Neurospora crassa OR74A: one gene and its partners. The protein of the gene in region 5 binds, or shares a complex with, the protein of the main gene of each other region. Links are inferred from orthologs where the notes say so. Each region holds a gene or a part of one and is shown on either strand. Other genes may lie near its edges. The genes, in order: NCU09880, NCU04606, NCU07832, NCU11251 and NCU00505.

What was found.
Region 1: NCU00505 (region 5) and NCU09880 share a complex: the UniProt entries of both Saccharomyces cerevisiae proteins name them as parts of the sm core complex. The link is inferred for Neurospora crassa OR74A from reciprocal best matches to the Saccharomyces cerevisiae genes SMD1 and SMX2.
Region 2: NCU00505 (region 5) and NCU04606 share a complex: the UniProt entries of both Saccharomyces cerevisiae proteins name them as parts of the U4/U6-U5 tri-snRNP complex. The link is inferred for Neurospora crassa OR74A from reciprocal best matches to the Saccharomyces cerevisiae genes SMD1 and PRP6.
Region 3: NCU00505 (region 5) and NCU07832 share a complex: the UniProt entries of both Saccharomyces cerevisiae proteins name them as parts of the U4/U6-U5 tri-snRNP complex. The link is inferred for Neurospora crassa OR74A from reciprocal best matches to the Saccharomyces cerevisiae genes SMD1 and PRP8.
Region 4: NCU00505 (region 5) and NCU11251 share a complex: the UniProt entries of both Saccharomyces cerevisiae proteins name them as parts of the U4/U6-U5 tri-snRNP complex. The link is inferred for Neurospora crassa OR74A from reciprocal best matches to the Saccharomyces cerevisiae genes SMD1 and PRP4.

What each region holds. Positions count from the first base shown.
Region 1 is NC_026501.1:6,357,863-6,361,709, reverse strand, and holds NCU09880 (small nuclear ribonucleoprotein SmG), read left to right. Parts: upstream 1-1,444; 5' UTR 1,445-1,558; coding exon 1,559-1,588; intron 1,589-1,729; coding exon 1,730-1,801; intron 1,802-1,860; coding exon 1,861-1,935; intron 1,936-1,994; coding exon 1,995-2,075; 3' UTR 2,076-2,393; coding exon of another isoform or gene 2,394-2,587; 3' UTR 2,588-2,705; coding exon of another isoform or gene 2,706-3,030; 3' UTR 3,031-3,334; downstream 3,335-3,847. Other genes in the region: NCU09879 (hypothetical protein), read right to left, coding at 1-913, 1,013-1,115; NCU10125 (hypothetical protein), read right to left, coding at 2,394-2,587, 2,706-3,030; NCU09881 (hypothetical protein), read right to left, coding at 3,823-3,847. UniProt on the Saccharomyces cerevisiae protein: Plays a role in pre-mRNA splicing as a core component of the spliceosomal U1, U2, U4 and U5 small nuclear ribonucleoproteins (snRNPs), the building blocks of the spliceosome.
Region 2 is NC_026505.1:1,527,880-1,532,077, forward strand, and holds the start of NCU04606 (pre-mRNA splicing factor), read left to right. Parts: upstream 1-1,387; 5' UTR 1,388-1,480; coding exon 1,481-1,815; intron 1,816-1,927; exon of another isoform or gene 1,928-1,967; coding exon 1,968-4,198. UniProt on the Saccharomyces cerevisiae protein: Participates in pre-mRNA splicing. Part of the U4/U5/U6 tri-snRNP complex, one of the building blocks of the spliceosome.
Region 3 is NC_026503.1:1,010,075-1,012,840, forward strand, and holds part of NCU07832 (pre-mRNA processing splicing factor 8), read left to right. Parts: coding exon 1-2,180; intron 2,181-2,257; coding exon 2,258-2,766. UniProt on the Saccharomyces cerevisiae protein: Functions as a scaffold that mediates the ordered assembly of spliceosomal proteins and snRNAs. Required for association of BRR2 with the spliceosomal U5 snRNP, and the subsequent assembly of the U4/U6-U5 tri-snRNP complex.
Region 4 is NC_026501.1:4,871,898-4,875,765, reverse strand, and holds NCU11251 (pre-mRNA splicing factor), read left to right. Parts: upstream 1-1,281; 5' UTR 1,282-1,438; coding exon 1,439-1,483; intron 1,484-1,547; exon of another isoform or gene 1,548-1,571; coding exon 1,572-1,605; intron 1,606-1,660; coding exon 1,661-3,162; 3' UTR 3,163-3,358; downstream 3,359-3,868. UniProt on the Saccharomyces cerevisiae protein: Involved in RNA splicing. Is required for the association of U4/U6 snRNP with U5 snRNP in an early step of spliceosome assembly.
Region 5 is NC_026501.1:8,193,163-8,196,361, forward strand, and holds NCU00505 (small nuclear ribonucleoprotein Sm D1), read left to right. Parts: upstream 1-1,344; 5' UTR 1,345-1,471; coding exon 1,472-1,485; intron 1,486-1,603; exon of another isoform or gene 1,604-1,704; coding exon 1,705-1,872; intron 1,873-1,950; coding exon 1,951-2,140; 3' UTR 2,141-2,690; downstream 2,691-3,199. Other genes in the region: pkr1 (ER membrane protein), read left to right, coding at 281-784; NCU00504 (hypothetical protein), read right to left, coding at 2,799-3,199. UniProt on the Saccharomyces cerevisiae protein: lays a role in pre-mRNA splicing as a core component of the spliceosomal U1, U2, U4 and U5 small nuclear ribonucleoproteins (snRNPs), the building blocks of the spliceosome. Also binds telomerase RNA and is required for its accumulation.

The DNA of each region.
Region 1 (3,847 bases), about 1.8 Mb from region 5:
GTCACGAACTCGTCGTAGCCTTCACCTAGGTCTTCGTCTTCGGCTATGAGGCGCGATTCGGATTTCTTGGCCTTTTTGTTGAGACTCAACGTGATGCGTTTTCGGTCGTCGTTGTCGGAGTGGTCACTATCGTCGAGTGCGATGAAATCGTGTTCCTTGGCAAGGCGCGCGCGCCGCTCTTTGCGCTCGCGGATCTCGGCTTCGGTGAGGACATGGGCTGCTGGGGCATCGCCAGTGAGCGCTAGGGGCATGTCGCGGGATTGAACAATCATGGCGCCGTCAAGCTCAGAGGGGTCGAGGTCCATGGCGTCGCCCGTTGTCCCGGGCGCGGCAGATGCCTCCGGCAACGGTGCGCTGTGGGTTTTGAGGCTGTCGTCGTCATCGTCGTCGATGATGCTTAGCGAGGCGAGATTCTGTGGTGTGGCTGGCGTGGAGCTTTGGAGTTCTTCAAGGTATTCTTTGCTGTACCGAGGCTTCTCTTCGTCGGCGCCAAATGTGCCGAATCGTGCGGTCAGGGCGGACTTGCGAAGCGCGTTCTTCTCGGCAACTCGTTGGCTCAGCGACTTTTTGCTTGGGGCGCTGACCACGTCGCTGCTGGCAGTTGTTGTCGTATCATTGCCGCCATCTTCCGTGTCGCCCTCGCTGGCTCCGAATGATAGTTTTGAGATGCGCTTCTTCTTGCTGGAGACTGAGCGGCCGAAACCGGGCCGTACTACGAGCGGCACACCAGTGTCCTCCTCGGCTTCTGTTACCTCGGGTGCCGTACTTGTGCTGGTTGACGTAGGTTGGATTGCGTCGCCGCTGGTTTCTTGTGGATTATCGTTACCGTCGTTGATCTTGATCGTTCTTCGTAGTGACGAAGATTTAGTAGGCTTGCTGCGCCCAAACTTGGTCGGTCCTTGCGGTACTGGTTCTGTTCGAAGGCGTATCAGCTTGCTTGTTCTTTGGTTTGGTATCAGCACTGAGATTTTCTATGCTGGAAAGGGATGGGCATGGCCATATAGCAACTTACGTTCGTTCTTCGGCTCCTCTCCTCCAAGCACCGTAGGAAGGTCGCCATCCTCATCGTCAAAGGTCTGGATAATGCGTGGCTTGCGCTTTCCAAAAGAGCTCATTTTTGTGATGATCGACTTGAGTAAAGTGTAGAATGGAAGTAGGTTGTCTGACAGGGAGTTTGTAATACAGTGATGTAGTATTGAGGCGGGCGTGTTGTTTACAGGTAAGTTTGTAGTGCAAAAAGGTGTCCAGACAGCTAGGAAGCTTCGAAATGCACCCTGGAGAATGACGCTGGTGGGCGACTGGATGTCACCACTGCACTGAACACTGCAATCACCCAAAGACGGGCAACGCGAATTGCGGTTTCTTATCTTATCAGTGTCCCCACGTGATGGCCTGGCGGCCGAAAATCACTGGGGATGGTCGCGATTGCACGCGCTGCACAAGGCCCGCCTTCCAGGTTGTTTCAGTGGAGAGTTCCCAGCCAGAACGACGCCATTGCCATTCATTGCAGCAACTCTCTCGAGACCATCCCAGACAACCAACACAACCTCAAGATACAATGGCGCCCGCACAACCTGAACTGAAGAAGGTAAGAACTTACTCTTGGAGAATTGCCTTTCACGCTGAATGGCAGCTGGCTGGTCGAGACTATGCCATTGTCGCATCTCGAACTCCATGTTATTGTTTGTTTAGTATGGTGTAGTGAGCTAACCGACCACTTTCCAACCAGTACCTCGACAAGAGGCTCTTCGTCCAACTCAACGGCAGCCGCAAGGTCATTGGTGTTCTCCGTGGCTACGATGTACGAGATCTCCCCTTTACGAATTCGAACATGATGATTGACGGTTCGCGACGTCATAGGTCTTCTTGAACATTGTTTTGGACGATGCTGTTGAGGAGAAGGATGGTGGTGAGAAGGTCAAGCTTGGCATGGTGGTATGTTTATCATTGTAGAAAGGTGCTGACGTGTCTCCTGCTGACGAATGTGCACACAGACCATTCGTGGTAACTCCGTTGTGATGATGGAGGCTCTCGAGAGAATCGGCGGCGATGAGAGGGGAGGACAGCGCGGCTAATCAACAATCATCTTCTCGCAACACGATAAAACGACCCTGCGCATCTACAAACGCCTACATCAAAAGGCGAGGCATCGGAATAAGCGGATGGCAATTGACGGGATTTGACTATATACCAAGGCGATTTACACTTTACGACGACATCTACAGTGTTCCACGCGGTCTTGGACGGTGAAAAGCTAGGTGGGTTGGCTGGTACGGCGTTCAGTTTCACACGAGGCATGTATTCGGGAAAGCTGCATTATCTTCAACTTAGAAAGGGAAACATCTGCGGCGGTGGTCGAAGAAAAGATACCCAAAGGATTTTTTTGTTTTTCATCACGTACAGCTCTTCTCCGACAACAGCTGCTTCCACGTCTTCTCGTCATAACCGTCCACCATGCGGTCGCCGTACATCCGCACCCAGCCTCGAATCCCGCCCGTCATGACCTGCGACTGAAGATCGCCGCCTACTTCGTTGATATAGTCTTGCATCCAGGCGGCACATCGAGGGCCCCGACCAGCGGAGGAGCCTGGGGGAAGAAGCATCGGTGTTAGAGAGGGTCGGCGGTAGAGGTACGAGTTCAAAAGAGCATAGGATTGATTGGACTCTGTCCCAAGAGTCAATGACAGAGAAAGTCAAACACGTACCACAATAGAAGACCACCTTTTGGATCCCGGCCTGTTTGCACAAAGCGTACAAGCTCTTGCGCGTGGGGAAGAAGCTGTGGGCGGGCAGGTTGATTGATGAGCTGACAGTTCCCCCGGCGCAGTCTGTCCGGCGACAATCGACAAGCAGCAATCTGCGCGATTGGGGCATGTCATCGACATGTTCTTGCTGCTCAAGAAGCTCGAGGACAGTCTGGGGCTCGATATGGACCGGCGTCGAAGTTGGCTCTGGAAATGCTGCCCACCACGGTGTACCATCCTCGCGCCTAGCCATGCGCAAGCAGTGTTCGTGAACGTGTATCGTCATGTTGAGGCCGTTGCTGAGTTGGTTTCTCATTGACTGATTTCTTAGGTTAAGCGGAAGAAATGTACCGTTGATGCATTGTCCGGTATATGAAGGGCAGTCAGGGGTAAACTCTTTGTTTGCCACACTGGATTGGGGCGGCTCTGAGATCTAGTCACATCTTTCAGCAAGCCACGCCGCCAATACTCATCTCGCGGGACATGTCCTCGGCAGTCACGTCCTATCATAAATCACTTGTCTCGTACGATCGGATCCTCTGATGCCGTAGATGGGATACCGCATCCGGAGGTAGTCCTTCCTATCCTATTACTCCATGGAGTTTTTCAGGAGATCGCGGCTAAGGGGGGACGACAAGATGATTTCTTCACCAGCTCATCAACGCGACATACTGCCTGGTCTCGTCGCTTCTATGCAATTTAGTAACCATGAGCATGTTATTTTTCTTATTACCCATATTCATGCCCCTCGCCATTTACCCGTAGATAACTGATAGCTCCGACATCTTGGTTTACTCGGCCCGGCATATAGGGGGATATCACATAACGAATTGTTGAGGTGTGTAAGTTGCAGCACCAGGACACCTGCGACAAAGCGCACCAATCAATATACATGTCGTTGTATGGAAGATTGATAAAAGGTTAAACCACGGCGTTTATAAGGTATACAGTAGCAAGACGCTCCCTCCAACAGCCCAGCGACACCTGAGAGCTATTCTGATTTATACGTCACGGCGTAACTTCCACCAAAGAATGCCCACATCTCCCAAATCAGTCTGTGCTCGCTTCGTTGTTCCATTCATTCATCATAGTACTCCTCCTCG
Region 2 (4,198 bases), on a different chromosome or scaffold from region 5:
CCAGAAGAATATCACGGCCGCTTGGGCAAAGGCAAGCCCCATCAACGCGTTTGCAAGAGTCGATGTGTACGCCAACAAAACACCGGGTTGTCTGAGCCCGGACCAGTTCTTTTCCGAACCACCATCGCTCTCGAGAACGACTCCTATAGCAATTCCTGTACCTAGTCCTTGCAGTTAGCATTGTCGGTACTTGGTCACAGCCTCAGTGTTGTGGTGAACGTAGGAACGAGTACTCACAGCTTATACAAAAGATCAGCGGAATTATCCCAAACCAGGGAAAACGTCTGAAGCCGCCTGGTTTCCAAGAGATCTTACCTGCGGAGTCATTTGATGAGTGTTTGATATGAGAAGACATCGGGTTTTTGATCAGCGGCTCCATGACTATCACATCAAGCTCTCCTGTGATGGACGAGCAAGAAGGTCTGGACCGAATATGTGAGTGGTAGTAAAGGGTGAAGAAGCGAGCTAGATGCCCATACTTATGAGATTTAGTCAACAGGAGGGTCTCGAAATTGCACATTGGTGGTTCGAGTGGGCGGCGCTGGAGTAGCTTTCCTTCAGTCGCCATGAGTGCTTTGAGACAGTGTATGCAGATTGGAAGCACCTTGTGTACAGACGTTCAAGTTGTGCGAACTCGGATCCCGCTGTATACTCAATCAGGGACGTGGTACTGAATAAATATACCTAGGTAGACGGCCGGCAAGGAGCTAAACCCAGCCTAAATTCATTGCAGAATAAAAAGGCATAGGCTCAGTCATCGTGTGCCGTTGTACAGCATGTTTATTGTAAACAGGAAAACCTGTGTTACGAAGTCTCGGTGAGGGAGTATATTCGCCTTGCATGGTGCCGCCTTTGCGGTTAACCTGACCGTGAAGGTTGAATGGTGCGAGGCATAAATGCTGTAGTTGCCGCACCTGCACAGAAAGAATTTAAATGGGAGGTTGAAGTTGGACATTGTTGGCTAGGCTGATCGCAGGCATTGCCATAGATGAATAATGCATTTCCCTTAGTGATGCTGCAACACGAAGAGCAGACGAGCATCTGGGTGAAGTTGTCCCACTTCACGCCTCACTGAGCCAGGCCATTTCAGTTGCCGACGGCAGGAGCGCTGAAATATCGTCATAGTTGTCTTCTATGGCCATCATGGCTCCGCTGACTGGTGATGGTGAAGACGGGAAAGGAGGTAGATGAATGATAGGAGGAAGTAAACAACGAAAGTGGAATTAAGCCGCCAAGCACTGGTGGAGTCGTAGACTGTTTACTTGGCACTGTGCCTGCCATTCGTTCGTCAAATGCCAAGAGCGCCTGGACCAGTGGCAGGCAGGCTTCAGTGCCCTGGAGTTCGACTTCCACTTCGACTTGCAGCCTGCCGGTATTTTGCCGCTAACTCAAATGTTTGGAGCTACCTCTACGGCCACCACGGTCACAATCCTAGCCACCGCGTCTCTACAATACATCACGAATACAGAAAACCGCCACCATGTCTAGACGGGATTTCCTCAGTCAACCCGCACCCGAGAACTACGTCGCCGGTCTCGGTCGTGGTGCCACGGGTTTCACTACACGATCCGATCTTGGTCCCGCGCGCGAGGGTCCTAGTGAAGACCAGATCAAGGCGGCCGTCGCGAAGAGATCTGCACAGCTAGGTCTGACCGAGGCCAAGGACGACGACAATGAAGACGATGGCCGCTATCAGGATCCCGACAACGAAGTCGGCTTGTTCGCCGGCGGCATATACGAGAAGGACGACGAGGAGGCAGATCGGATATGGAAAGAGGTAGACGACAGGATGGCGAAGCGGCGACAGAAGCAAAGGTTAGTCATTACCTCGTATACATCACTTGACATCCTACATAAATTCACAAAACACCCTTCTACCCCTTCCCCAACACTTTCAAGCAAGCATGTGGTTTATCGGTCAAGATAGATGAAAAGCAGAGTACCGACAAGAAATCGCATTTTCACAGGGAAGCACGAGAAGAAGCCGAACGATTAGAGTACGAACGAAAGAACCCCAAAATCCAACAGCAATTCGCCGGCCTCAAACGAGCGCTCGAGACGGTCACCGACGAAGAATGGGCAAACCTACCAGATCCCAAGGACCTTACCGGCAGGACCAAGAGGGCACGCCAGGCTCGCATGGAGCGCTTCTACGCCGTTCCCGACAGTGTCCTCGCTGCCGCGCGAGATTCCGGCCAGTTCGGTACCACCGTTGCAGAAGACGGCACCGCCACCGAAGGGGTCAACAAGGATGGCACAGTTACAGATTTCGCAAAGATCGGTGCGGCTCGCGACAAGGTGCTGAGGGCGCGCTTGGAACAGCAATCACAGTCGAGTAGCGTGGCCACGGCGGGAAGCGCGACGAGTATCGACCCCAAGGGCTACCTGACATCGCTGTCGAGCATGCAGGGTGCGGAACAAAGCATTGGAGACATTGAGCAGTTCAGGAAGATGCTCAAGTCGGCTGTCGACTCGAACCCCAAACAGGCAGCCAGTTGGATTGCTGCAGCGAGATTGGAAATCGCGGCGGGAAAGCCTGGTGCTGCCCGCAGCTTGATTGCCAAGGGCTGCGAACACTGCCCGAAGAGCGAGGATATTTGGCTGGAAAACATTCATTTGAACGACAACCGGAACGCCAAGGTCATTGCGGCACAGGCTATTCAAGCCAACCCACACTCGGTCAAGCTTTGGGTGGAAGCGATGAAGCTGGAAAACGACCCTAGATCAAAGAAGAAGGTTATCCGGAGAGCTCTCGATCATAACCAAGAGTCCGAGGCGCTATGGAAGGAGGCTGTCAACCTCGAGGAGGACGTCGAAGACGCCCGCATTCTACTAGCCAAGGCGACGGAGCTTATCCCGGAGTCGCTCGACCTCTGGTTGGCACTGGCCCGTCTCGAGACTCCCGAAAACGCCCGCAAGGTTCTCAACAAGGCCGTCAAGAAGCTTCCCAACTCGCACGAACTCTGGATCGCCGCCGCTCGCCTGGAAGAACAACTAGGCGAAGGCAAGAAGCGGCCCGTGATGAAGAACGCCGTCAAGTTCCTCGCCAAGCAGAACGCCATGCCCAAGCGCGAGGAATGGATCGCCGAAGCAGAAAAGTGCGAAGAGGAAGGCGCCGTCATCACTTGCAGCAACATCATCGAAGAGACGCTTGGCTGGGGTCTCGACGAGGACGATGACCGCAAGGAGCTCTGGATGGAAGACGCGCGCGCCTCCATCAACCGGGACAAGTTCGCCACAGCGCGCGCCATCTACGCCTACGCCATCCGCGTCTTCCCCAACAGCAAATCGCTCTACACGGCCGCCATCGACCTGGAGCGCAACCACGGCAGCAAGGAAGACCTCTGGCACGCGCTCGAAAAGGCCGTCGAGGCCTGTCCGCACTACGAAGTCTTCTGGCTCATGCTCGCGCGCGAGAAAGCCGCCGAGGCGGGCGTCGACGAGGCACGCCTCGTCCTTGCCCGCGCCTTCAAGCAGAACCCGGACAGCGAGGACATCTGGCTGGCGGCCGTCAAGCTCGAAGCCGACAACGGTTTCATCGACAAAGCCCGCGAACTCCTCAAGACCGCGCGCCAGAATGCGCCCACCGATCGCGTGTGGATGCGCTCCGTGGCGTTTGAGCGTCAACAAGGCGTCAACGAGGCCGCTTTGGATCTCGTCCAACAGGCCCTACAGCTCTTCCCTTCCAAGCCCAAACTCTGGATGATGAAGGGCCAAATCTACGAAGACCTCGGCCAACTTGGTCCTGCGCGGGAAGCCTACAGCACCGGCGTGCGCGCCGTCCCTTCGTCCATCCCGCTCTGGCTTCTGTACTCTCGTTTAGAAGAAAAGGCCAACAATGTCGTCAAGGCGCGCTCGGTCCTCGACCGCGCCCGACAAGCCGTGCCCAAGTCCCCGGAGCTATGGACGGAACTCATCCGCGTCGAGCGGCGCGCGGGCAACTTGAACCAGGCCAAGTCGCTCATGGCGCAAGCGTTACAGCAGATGCCCAAATCGGGCTTGCTGTGGGCGGAAAGGATCCTCAACCTCGAGCCGCGCACGCAGCGGAAATCGCTGCTTGCCGAGGCGGTGAAAAAGGTGGAAGACGATCCGATCCTGCTGGTCACGGCCGCGAGAATTCTGTGGGCGGAAAGGAAGCTGGACCGGGCGCAGAACTGGTTCGAGAAGGCGCTGTTGCTGGATCGCGATGTGGGCGATA
Region 3 (2,766 bases), on a different chromosome or scaffold from region 5:
TCCCTACGTCTCTTCTGAGGAGGCTGTTGCCATTTACACTACTACGGTGCACTGGCTTGAATCGAGAAAATTCTCTCCCATCCCCTTCCCCAGTGTGTCTTACAAGCATGACACCAAGATCCTTATCTTGGCGCTGGAGCGCCTACGTGAGGCTTACTCGACCAAGGGAAGATTGAACCAGAGTCAGCGTGAGGAGTTGGCCTTGATTGAGCAGGCATATGACAGTCCAGGCACTACCCTCGAGCGTATCAAACGCTTCCTACTCACTCAAAGAGCTTTCAAGGAAGTCGGCATCGATATGAACGACAACTACAGCACCATCAACCCGGTCTATGATATTGAACCGATCGAGAAGATTAGCGATGCTTATCTCGACCAGTACTTGTGGTATCAAGCTGACCAGCGCCATCTGTTCCCCGCTTGGATTAAGCCTTCCGATTCGGAGGTGCCACCTTTGCTTGTGTACAAGTGGGCTCAAGGCATTAACAACCTCGACAGGGTTTGGGAGACCGCGAATGGCGAGTGCAATGTCATGATCGAGACGCAGCTCTCCAAGGTCTACGAGAAGATTGAGCTGACCTTGCTCAACTCGCTTCTTCGGTTGATAATGGACCACAACCTTGCGGACTACATCACGGCCAAGAATAACGTTACCCTAACTTACAAGGACATGAACCATGTCAACAGCTATGGTATGATTCGTGGCCTGCAGTTCTCAGCCTTCGTTTTCCAGTACTATGGTCTCATTCTCGATTTGCTGTTGCTTGGCCCGCAGCGTGCCAGCGAGATTGCCGGTCCTCCCCACGCACCCAATGACTTCCTTCAGTTCAAGGACCGGGAGACTGAAACAAGACACCCGATTAGGTTGTACACCAGGTACATCGACAAGATCTGGGTGTTCTTGAGGTTCACCGCGGATGAATCTCGCGACCTGATCCAGCGATTCTTGACAGAGCAGCCTGATCCCAACTTCGAGAACGTGATTGGTTACAAGAGCAAGAAGTGCTGGCCCAGAGATTCGCGTATGCGTCTCATGAGGCACGACGTCAACCTCGGCAGAGCTGTGTTCTGGGATCTCAAGAACCGCCTCCCAAGATCCGTGACGACGATTGAATGGGAAGACACCTTCGCCAGCGTGTACAGCAGGGATAACCCGAACCTCCTGTTCTCCATGTGCGGCTTCGAAGTGCGCATCTTGCCCAAGATCCGCAACCAGAACGATGAGTTCCCTGTGAAAGACAGTGTCTGGTCACTAGTGGACAACACGACCAAGGAACGCACCGCTCACGCTTTCCTACAAGTTACCGAAGAGGACATTCAGAAATTCAATAACAGGATCCGTCAGATTCTCATGTCGTCTGGCTCGACCACATTCACCAAGATTGCTAACAAGTGGAACACGGCGCTGATTGCCCTCTTTACTTACTACCGCGAGGCTGCTGTTTCGACCGTGAACCTGCTTGACACGATTGTCAAGTGTGAAACCAAAATCCAGACTCGTGTCAAAATTGGTCTCAACTCCAAGATGCCTTCCCGTTTCCCTCCTGCCGTTTTCTACACTCCCAAGGAGCTTGGTGGCTTGGGTATGATTTCCGGATCACACATCCTTATCCCTACTAGCGACAAGCGCTGGTCTAAACAGACAGATCTCGGAGTTACTCATTACCGTGCGGGCATGTCGCACGATGAGGAAACGCTGATCCCCAACATCTTCCGCTACATCATCCCGTGGGAAGCTGAGTTTATCGACTCCCAGCGTGTGTGGACGGAATACTCGCAGAAGCGTCTCGAGGCCAACCAGCAGAACCGCAGATTGACCCTAGAGGATCTGGAGGACAGCTGGGATCGCGGTCTGCCCCGTATAAACACTCTTTTTCAAAAGGACCGTAGCACGTTAAGCTTCGACAAGGGTTTCCGTGCCCGTTCCGAGTTCAAGATCTATCAGTTGATGAAGAGCAATCCCTTCTGGTGGACAAGCCAGAGGCATGACGGTAAACTTTGGAACCTTAACGCATACCGTACCGATGTCATCCAGGCGCTTGGTGGTGTCGAAACCATCTTGGAGCATACCTTGTTCAAGGCAACTGGTTTCCCGTCTTGGGAAGGTCTCTTCTGGGAGAAGGCCAGTGGTTTCGAGGAGTCGATGAAGTTCAAGAAGTTGACAAATGCCCAGAGGAGCGGTAAGTTCAACATACCATTTCTCTAGCATGAATTCATCATCATATGCACGCACAAATACTGACTTTGAAATACGCAGGTCTCAACCAGATTCCTAATCGTCGTTTCACGCTTTGGTGGTCGCCTACCATCAACAGAGCCAATGTCTACGTCGGTTTCCAAGTGCAGTTGGATCTAACTGGTATCTTCTTGCACGGCAAGATTCCTACTCTCAAGATCTCCCTGATCCAGATCTTCCGAGCTCATCTGTGGCAGAAGATCCACGAGTCAGTGGTCATGGATCTTTGCCAGGTCTTCGATCAGGAGCTTGAGGCTCTAAGCATCGAATCGGTTCAAAAGGAAACCATTCATCCCAGAAAATCTTACAAGATGAACAGCTCCTGCGCGGATATCCAGCTCTTTGCCAGCCACAAATGGAACGTTACTCGCCCATCGCTCCTTTTCGATACCAAGGATGTCATCGAGTCTACTACGACGAACAAGTTTTGGATTGATGTTCAGCTTCGCTATGGTGACTACGACTCTCACGATATTGAGAGATACGTCAGGGCCAAGTATCTGGACTACACCACCGACAGCATGAGTCTT
Region 4 (3,868 bases), about 3.3 Mb from region 5:
GCCTCTGCGTCGCTGAGCGTCTGCGCGGTGTTCGGTGGTCAAACTGGGTCCTTGATGGCTTGGAATCGCACGCATCTGGTACTTGAAGAAGGAAGTGGAATTGTCGTCGACGGTCTTCTCGATATGCATTGAGGGTGGAAAGGCTCGATGAGATGTGGTTTTTACTGTCAAGAAGGAGAGAGAGAAAGAGAAAAAAAACAGAAAAGAGAAAAAAGAAGAGAGTTGTGACTGGGGGAGCGTGCGAAGAGAGAGGTCGACAATGGCAACAATGAAATGGAGTTCCGTGGGCAGCAGAAGTTAAAATAAAATGGAGCCCGGACTCTGCACCTGCAGTGAATTAGGATGGGCCTGGACCGGGTTTGTGACCTTGGGTATTACCTATGCACAATTTAGTACCCCTAGGGACTGGAATGCACTAGCCGGGCAGGGGGCCGCGTCCGCCTCACCCAAATATCCCGCCATTGAGCCAACCACGATAAAGAGAAAAGCGTTCACATCATGCGTCACGGTCTGGGCAGGCCGGGCAGGCCGGGCAGGCGAGCAACTGAAAGGGCGGAAAGACCAGCTGGATTGGTCTGGTGAACTTAAAGGAAAAGGAGGAATTGGCGGGCGTTCCATGTCCCAGGAGGAATTGGCGAGAGCACGTGAAAATCGGGTGAGAGACATCAGACATACGTCTCACCCGCATTAAAGGGAATGCACCATCGGCCATTTTCCAGGCTTTTTCCACACTAGCTTTCAACCTGAAAAAAGCCCCATGTTGCTCTCCATGTCCAGAAATGAACCTCCAATACCACACGGCAGGTGTCATGTGTGTATAGGTAGTGTAGTGTACCAAGGCCGCTGGATGCCGACCCCGATCTTCAGTTTTGACAAGTCTGGGGAATCCGAACAGCCGGGGCTCGATTGGCGGTCATTAAACCGCATTGATCGACGGGCTGGGAAGGGGGAACTGGCCGCACCGTTTGTGATCGCGCTTCCATGTCACCTCGGACCAAACCTACCGTGTGCGAAGTGGGTATTAACGAATGTTGACACCAACAAGGAATCTATCACATATCACATGAAACTTTGAAATTTCAAGTACCTCTTTGAATGATCGGTGAAAGCTTCATGGCGATTCGTTGGTTCACCTTAAGACGAGGTGCCCGTGGTGCTAGGACCGAGATGAGCGCATTCAGGTGGGACAGCTTGTTGAGGGTTAGGGTCGAAGATGCGCCGGAAATTTTAGTGGAGCTCCCGCAACAGCAACGGCGCCAGCATTGTAAACTTCCCTGTGATTGCATCACCTGCTATTTCACGACAGCAAGCAAAACATCGAGCCCTCACATCAAACGGTCCTTTAGCAACCACAAGCCGGACTCGAATCACCTGGCTTTACTCGCGTTCAAGTGTCCAGAAGATTTAGCAAACGAACAAACACCGAAAGTTTAGCACTATGCATCCGGCGCGTAGAGCCTACGTGGAGGAGGCCGAGCCTGAGGTAAGACCATGCTCTATATGCGCCCCTCGCATCATTGAAGGCACCTGCTCAACATTGCAAACAGAGCCCGGACTGACCCCCCCTGAAGCAGGATCGCGGAGGCATGGATCTAGACTCCGTCCGTAAGTCCCCAAAACTCTTGTATGGCTTCCAACCCATGACTGATTTGCGTGTTAGCCCTCGATCGCGACTACGACATCCCCGGTGCTGGGGCTGGTATTGCCCCAGAGAAGGCCTCCGTTCTTCTATCGCAGTTTGAACGAAAACGATTAGCGGCTTCGATTGCTGTTCCTACCGACGATGGCCGGGTACGAGCCAAATTGCGAGAGATGGGCGAGCCTGTCACCCTCTTCGGCGAGGGTCCGGCAGACAGACGCGACAGATTACGAGAACTCATGACACAACAAGCCGAAAAGGGAGGTCAGGAAAGTGCCGATGTGGAGATGCGGGACGCCGAAAACGAGGAAGATGAAGCCGGCGACCAAGAGGAGGAATTTTACACTACTGGAAGCCCGGAACTGCTCCAGGCCCGCATCGACATCGCTCACTACTCAATCCCGAGAGCTAAGAAGCGCATCGAGTTCCAGAAGAAGGAGTCCACCATCCCACTGCGGACACATGTCAAACACCGAAAAGAGATCAAGGAGAAGCTTCAAGGGTTTGAATTGCAAGGCAGTCAAACGGCAGGAGAGCGGCACATCAGCATGACAAGGATCTCGCCTGATGGAAACATGGTCGCAACTGGCAATTGGGGCGGACAGGTCAAACTCATCGAAATCCCAACCCTTGAGCCAAGGAAGACTTTGAGGGGCCACACCAACAAAGTCAGCGGCCTATGCTGGATGCCTGGAGCTACACTGCCGGAGCGCAATGTTTCTCCCGACACAGTCAATCTCGCTTCCGGAGGAGCGGAAGGCCAGATTCATCTCTGGTCTTTGAACCAAGACACGCCTTTGAGAACTCTCTCAGGACACTCGCAACGAGTATGTCGTGTAGAGTTCCATCCATCGGGCAAGTATCTGGCTTCTGCCTCAGAAGACACGTCATGGAGGATGTGGGATGTTGAAACCGGCACCGAGCTCCTTCTCCAGGAAGGTCACTCTCGCGGTGTATACGCTGTCAGTTATAACAGTGACGGATCGCTACTCGCTAGCGCGGGTTTGGACAGTATCGGAAGAATCTGGGATCTGCGGACAGGACGGACTGCCATGATTCTAGATGGGCATCAGGACGGCCATATCAAGCCTATTTATGGTTTGGACTGGGGCTCGGACGGTTACAGGGTGCTCACGGCGTCTGCTGATGGTTGGATCAAATGCTGGGACGTTAGAAAAGTGGAAAGAATTGGAGGCATTGGTGCCCATACAAGTGCAGTGGCCGACGTGCGGTGGTTCAAGGGGTTGGATGACCCGTTGGAAGGAGTGCCTCCTGGCGAAGATGAAAAGGGAATGCAAATTCCCAAAAAATCCGGCACCTTTATGGTGTCGGCAGGCTTTGACCACAAGGTGAACATATTTTCCGCTGACGACTGGGCCTTGGTTCAGTCTCTCAGCGGCCACACAGGGCCTGTTGCGAGTGTTGACGTTAGCCGGGATGGAAAATGGATTGTAAGCGGTGGCCATGACCGGACGGTCAAACTTTGGGGAAGAAACGACTCCAGGAGCTTGTATGATTCCTGAGCAGACATCAATCATGTGCGCGACAAGAATCTTGTCGTTGCCTCTCGCATAGGAGCAACACACCAAGGAGGGCGTTCAGCAAGCGACAGGCCAGGGCTTGGCTTACCGCTCCACGAGAGACAGTATCGGCAGATAGATTGCATAGAAGCCGTCTCAATTTGTAGATCAACAACCACAACTGGGTGCCCATAACAAGCTGCCTTTGGTACATGCGTCTGAGTTGCCTTGTGGTTGCGTTTCACTGACCCGGTAAGGATAAGGGGTGTCACCTGACCGCGAAAGTGGGCCTGTTGAGATTCCTTCTCCCTTCTTTTCTGCAGTGACGCGGGCAGGGTTGGGCGGGACACCTGCCGCTCGCGTTGGTTGGCGTTGGTAAAGTCACCCTGGCACCCTGGGAAATGGTGACGCACGGTCCATCGTGCGAAGCTTGGCTTTCTGATAAAGGGCGATAAAACAATGGCAGCAGACGCCATCACCGGGAACTTGTAGCGTTGGTCCGTTTTCGAACCTTTGACTTCTTCGTTTCTCGCATTTCTGCATTTTCAAGTGGTTTTATCCCCAGCCGGTATTTATCGCGAGAGACGTCATTCACAATACCCTCAACTCACAGCATCCGGGCAGCTCAAGTCCCCATGCGCATCAACCCGCTCAAAGCTGTCTGAAGGGCGACACGGGGAGGATTCGCTTATTTGGGAACCAGCCAGAA
Region 5 (3,199 bases):
CTACGGGCTTTGTCTGGTTGGGCTGCACATCCTCATCCGTCCCCTGCCTTCTGTCCCTCGTCATTTATAAAGGTTGTGAGGCCGTGACTAACCCTCTCTTCGACTGTAGTCATCCACTACGAACCATTGACTTTACTGCGAGTTTGTCTCTTCGTTTGTCCGCATCGCTTCCACGGCGCATCGTCCTGAACACGAATCGACAACAAGAATTTTCCTCTACACGACATACCTTCACGGTCAAACTTTTCAACGCCGACATAGCGCCAGCCTAATCTTCCCAATGACATCCTTCGTTACAAATCTCTGGGAGTCGATCTTCACTCCGGGGCCGACTCCCACCCTCCTTATCGCGACAAATGTCACATTTGCCGCTCTGCAAATTGTCCTGGCGTGCCTCCTCTTTGCGACATGGAGTATCCACTTCGTAATTCTCTCGGCTCTCTGCGGTGGACTCTGGGGATCCATCAACTGGTTCGCGGCGGAACTGAAGGTGCACCAAATCCAAGAAGAGGAAAAGGCGAGAAGAGCCAAAGAAGCAGCGCCAACTCCAGTCACATCGGAAGACAGCGAAACAGAAGTAGAGGCAGCTACATCGACAGCTAGCCTCACGAGGCAGGAGTCAATTGCAGAGGCGGTCAGCCATGAGGTTGAGCCTATCCAGCAGATTGGAGAACTGAAGCACAGAGTGGTTGAGGAGACACCGAGCCTGGGCACTAAGAGCGGCGTCAGCACGGAAGATGAGTGGGAGAAGGTTTCGGAGAACGAGAACGAAAAGGACAAGTGAATATCCTGGCGATTGAGCGGGGACCGACCACACGCAGAACGTACAAGCGAATGTCGTGTTAGCGAAGTTACCATGGCATCCTGTAAATAGTGTCATGGTCCGCTTTCGTGTTGGAGTTGAGCGACGATGGCATTTACACATCCACCCTGTTTTCGTTCTTCATTGGATGAAAGGAGAGGCAGTTGAAGGCTGTAAGCCCTATGTTCGTTTCATAGTCCTTATCCTGCCATGAGGCATCATGATCTGTGCAACTACAGCTATAGCTTCAGAGACAAAGTCATAGTAAACAACACCTTGTTGTTCGGCGTGGCAGTTAGCCAGCCCATCTTCGTGTACCCCAATTATCTGGTTGCTTCAACTCAGCACATGAACAGATCATGTGCAGGGCAGGCAATTTATGGATAGCTTGAAACCCATGACTTCCAGGGTTAGGGGCTTTCAAGCCGCCGTTTGCCTGTTCAGCTCGGCTCACGTGATTGAGCACGGGCTCTATCTTGGCGCGTAGCGACGGCAGGCTATCTGCTCCACCCTGACGCTTGGATGGTTGTGCAAGCGTCCAAGGAAGCTCGACAAGCCTTCTCCCGTCGCGACTGTTGATTGACAAAGTAACAAGCTGGTAATCGAGACCTTGTCACCACCAATTCCATACAACACATATTCGATTACGCGTTGTCCAAATAAGTCAAGATGAAGCTGGTCAGGTAAGATTTCTCCTTGCTTTCTGATACTTCGCTACATGTACCCGATACCCCATCCCACCCGACTTCATTCCTATTCTCTTGCACGACGCATGCTGAGCTTTGAGTCCTCGCCTTCAAGGCTGCCAGCCCGTGTTCGCGCGCGTCCATGCTGCTCTACTAGAAAAAGAACACCAAGGGCACCAGGCTGACGAAGTGGAATCCGTTACTTCAACACTGCAGATTTTTGATGAAATGCGCCAACGAGACGGTGACGATTGAGTTGAAGAACGGCACAATTGTACACGGCACTATCGCCTCGGTCACACCCCGCATGGACACTGCGCTTCGCAACGTCAAGATGACCCCCAAGGGCCAGGACGCTGTGGCTCTAGATGCCATGAACATTAGGTAAATCAACCCTTTCAACTAAGGGGGAGTGGCCCTTTTCAGTTTTCGAGGGCATCACTAACTATTGAAACCCTACAGGGGCTCGACCATCCGTTACTTCATACTCCCCGATTCTTTGCCGCTCGATACATTGCTAGTTGATGATTCCGTGAAGCCCAAGAACAAGGCGAGAAAGGAAGCGGACCGCAGCGCCGGCGGCAGAGGTGGCCGTGGTGGCCGTGGCAGAGGAAGGGGAATGGGTCGCGGCCGCGGTCGTGGCCGTGGCTAAGCGGATCTCGTTTCTTTGGGATCGGCCACGGCGTACGTCTCCCTGGACGACAGAAACGTGCGAATTAGATTTTTTTTCAAAGACGATACGATGCTATACTACGGTTAATGGTGGATTTTTTTCGGTTTTTTATGCCCCCTTCGGTCGACCGGCTTGACCGTCTTGGTAGGGAAGATCAAGGCCGGCCCGAAATAACGTCCGGTGGCGACGACACGACAAAATCGACGATGAGTGCGCTTCAGAAAATCGAGGAGCATATCCCAGATCTTCACTTGAGCGACACTCGAGATTCACCTCATTCGCATCGAGTGTTACACACATAAACACCACTCCCCCTCATCGGATCGGAGCAGAGGGCAAGCATTGGGATTTCGTTGCGGCGTTCTGGACAGGATAAAATCACTTTGCTAGCGGGAAGGGAGAGAGAGAAAGGCGCGCCCAACCGCCACCGGAATGAACTATTTTATGTATCACAAAACAGATAGACGGCGATATATGCCTACTGGAGAAGGCGGCACAATCAGCAACTCTCTATACCAAATTTCCCCCAGAATTTTCGAGCCTTGTACGTGACTGACCATCGTCCTTCCCCCTCTTCCACCCTCTTCAACAGCTTCCTCCCCATCCTCAACTCATCACCAGCATCTCATCCCTCCATTCACCTCCAAACCCTCACAATCTGCAACTTCTCCCAACCCGCCTGCCTCCCACTAGTCCCCACCGTCTCTGCCTTCCACTTCCCTTCACCACCCATCACCCTGATCCTCCCTTTGACCTCCTCCGGCTTATTCTGCGCACAAAGCAGAATATACGCCACCCCCCTCTCGCTCAACACCCCCGGCAAGGCCTCAATCAGTCTATCCGTCGTCTCCATCCCATCCCTCCCTCCAGCATACGTCAACTCCAAGAGATGTGAGTCTTCCTCAAACGTCGTTTTCTCCTTCAGTGCCTGCAACCCTGTCGGTGGCGGCGCAGGCAAGTCAGGCGTAGGGACGTAGGGCGGGTTGAAGACTAGGACATCTACCGATCCGGGACGAAAGGGGGAGACGAGGTCACCTT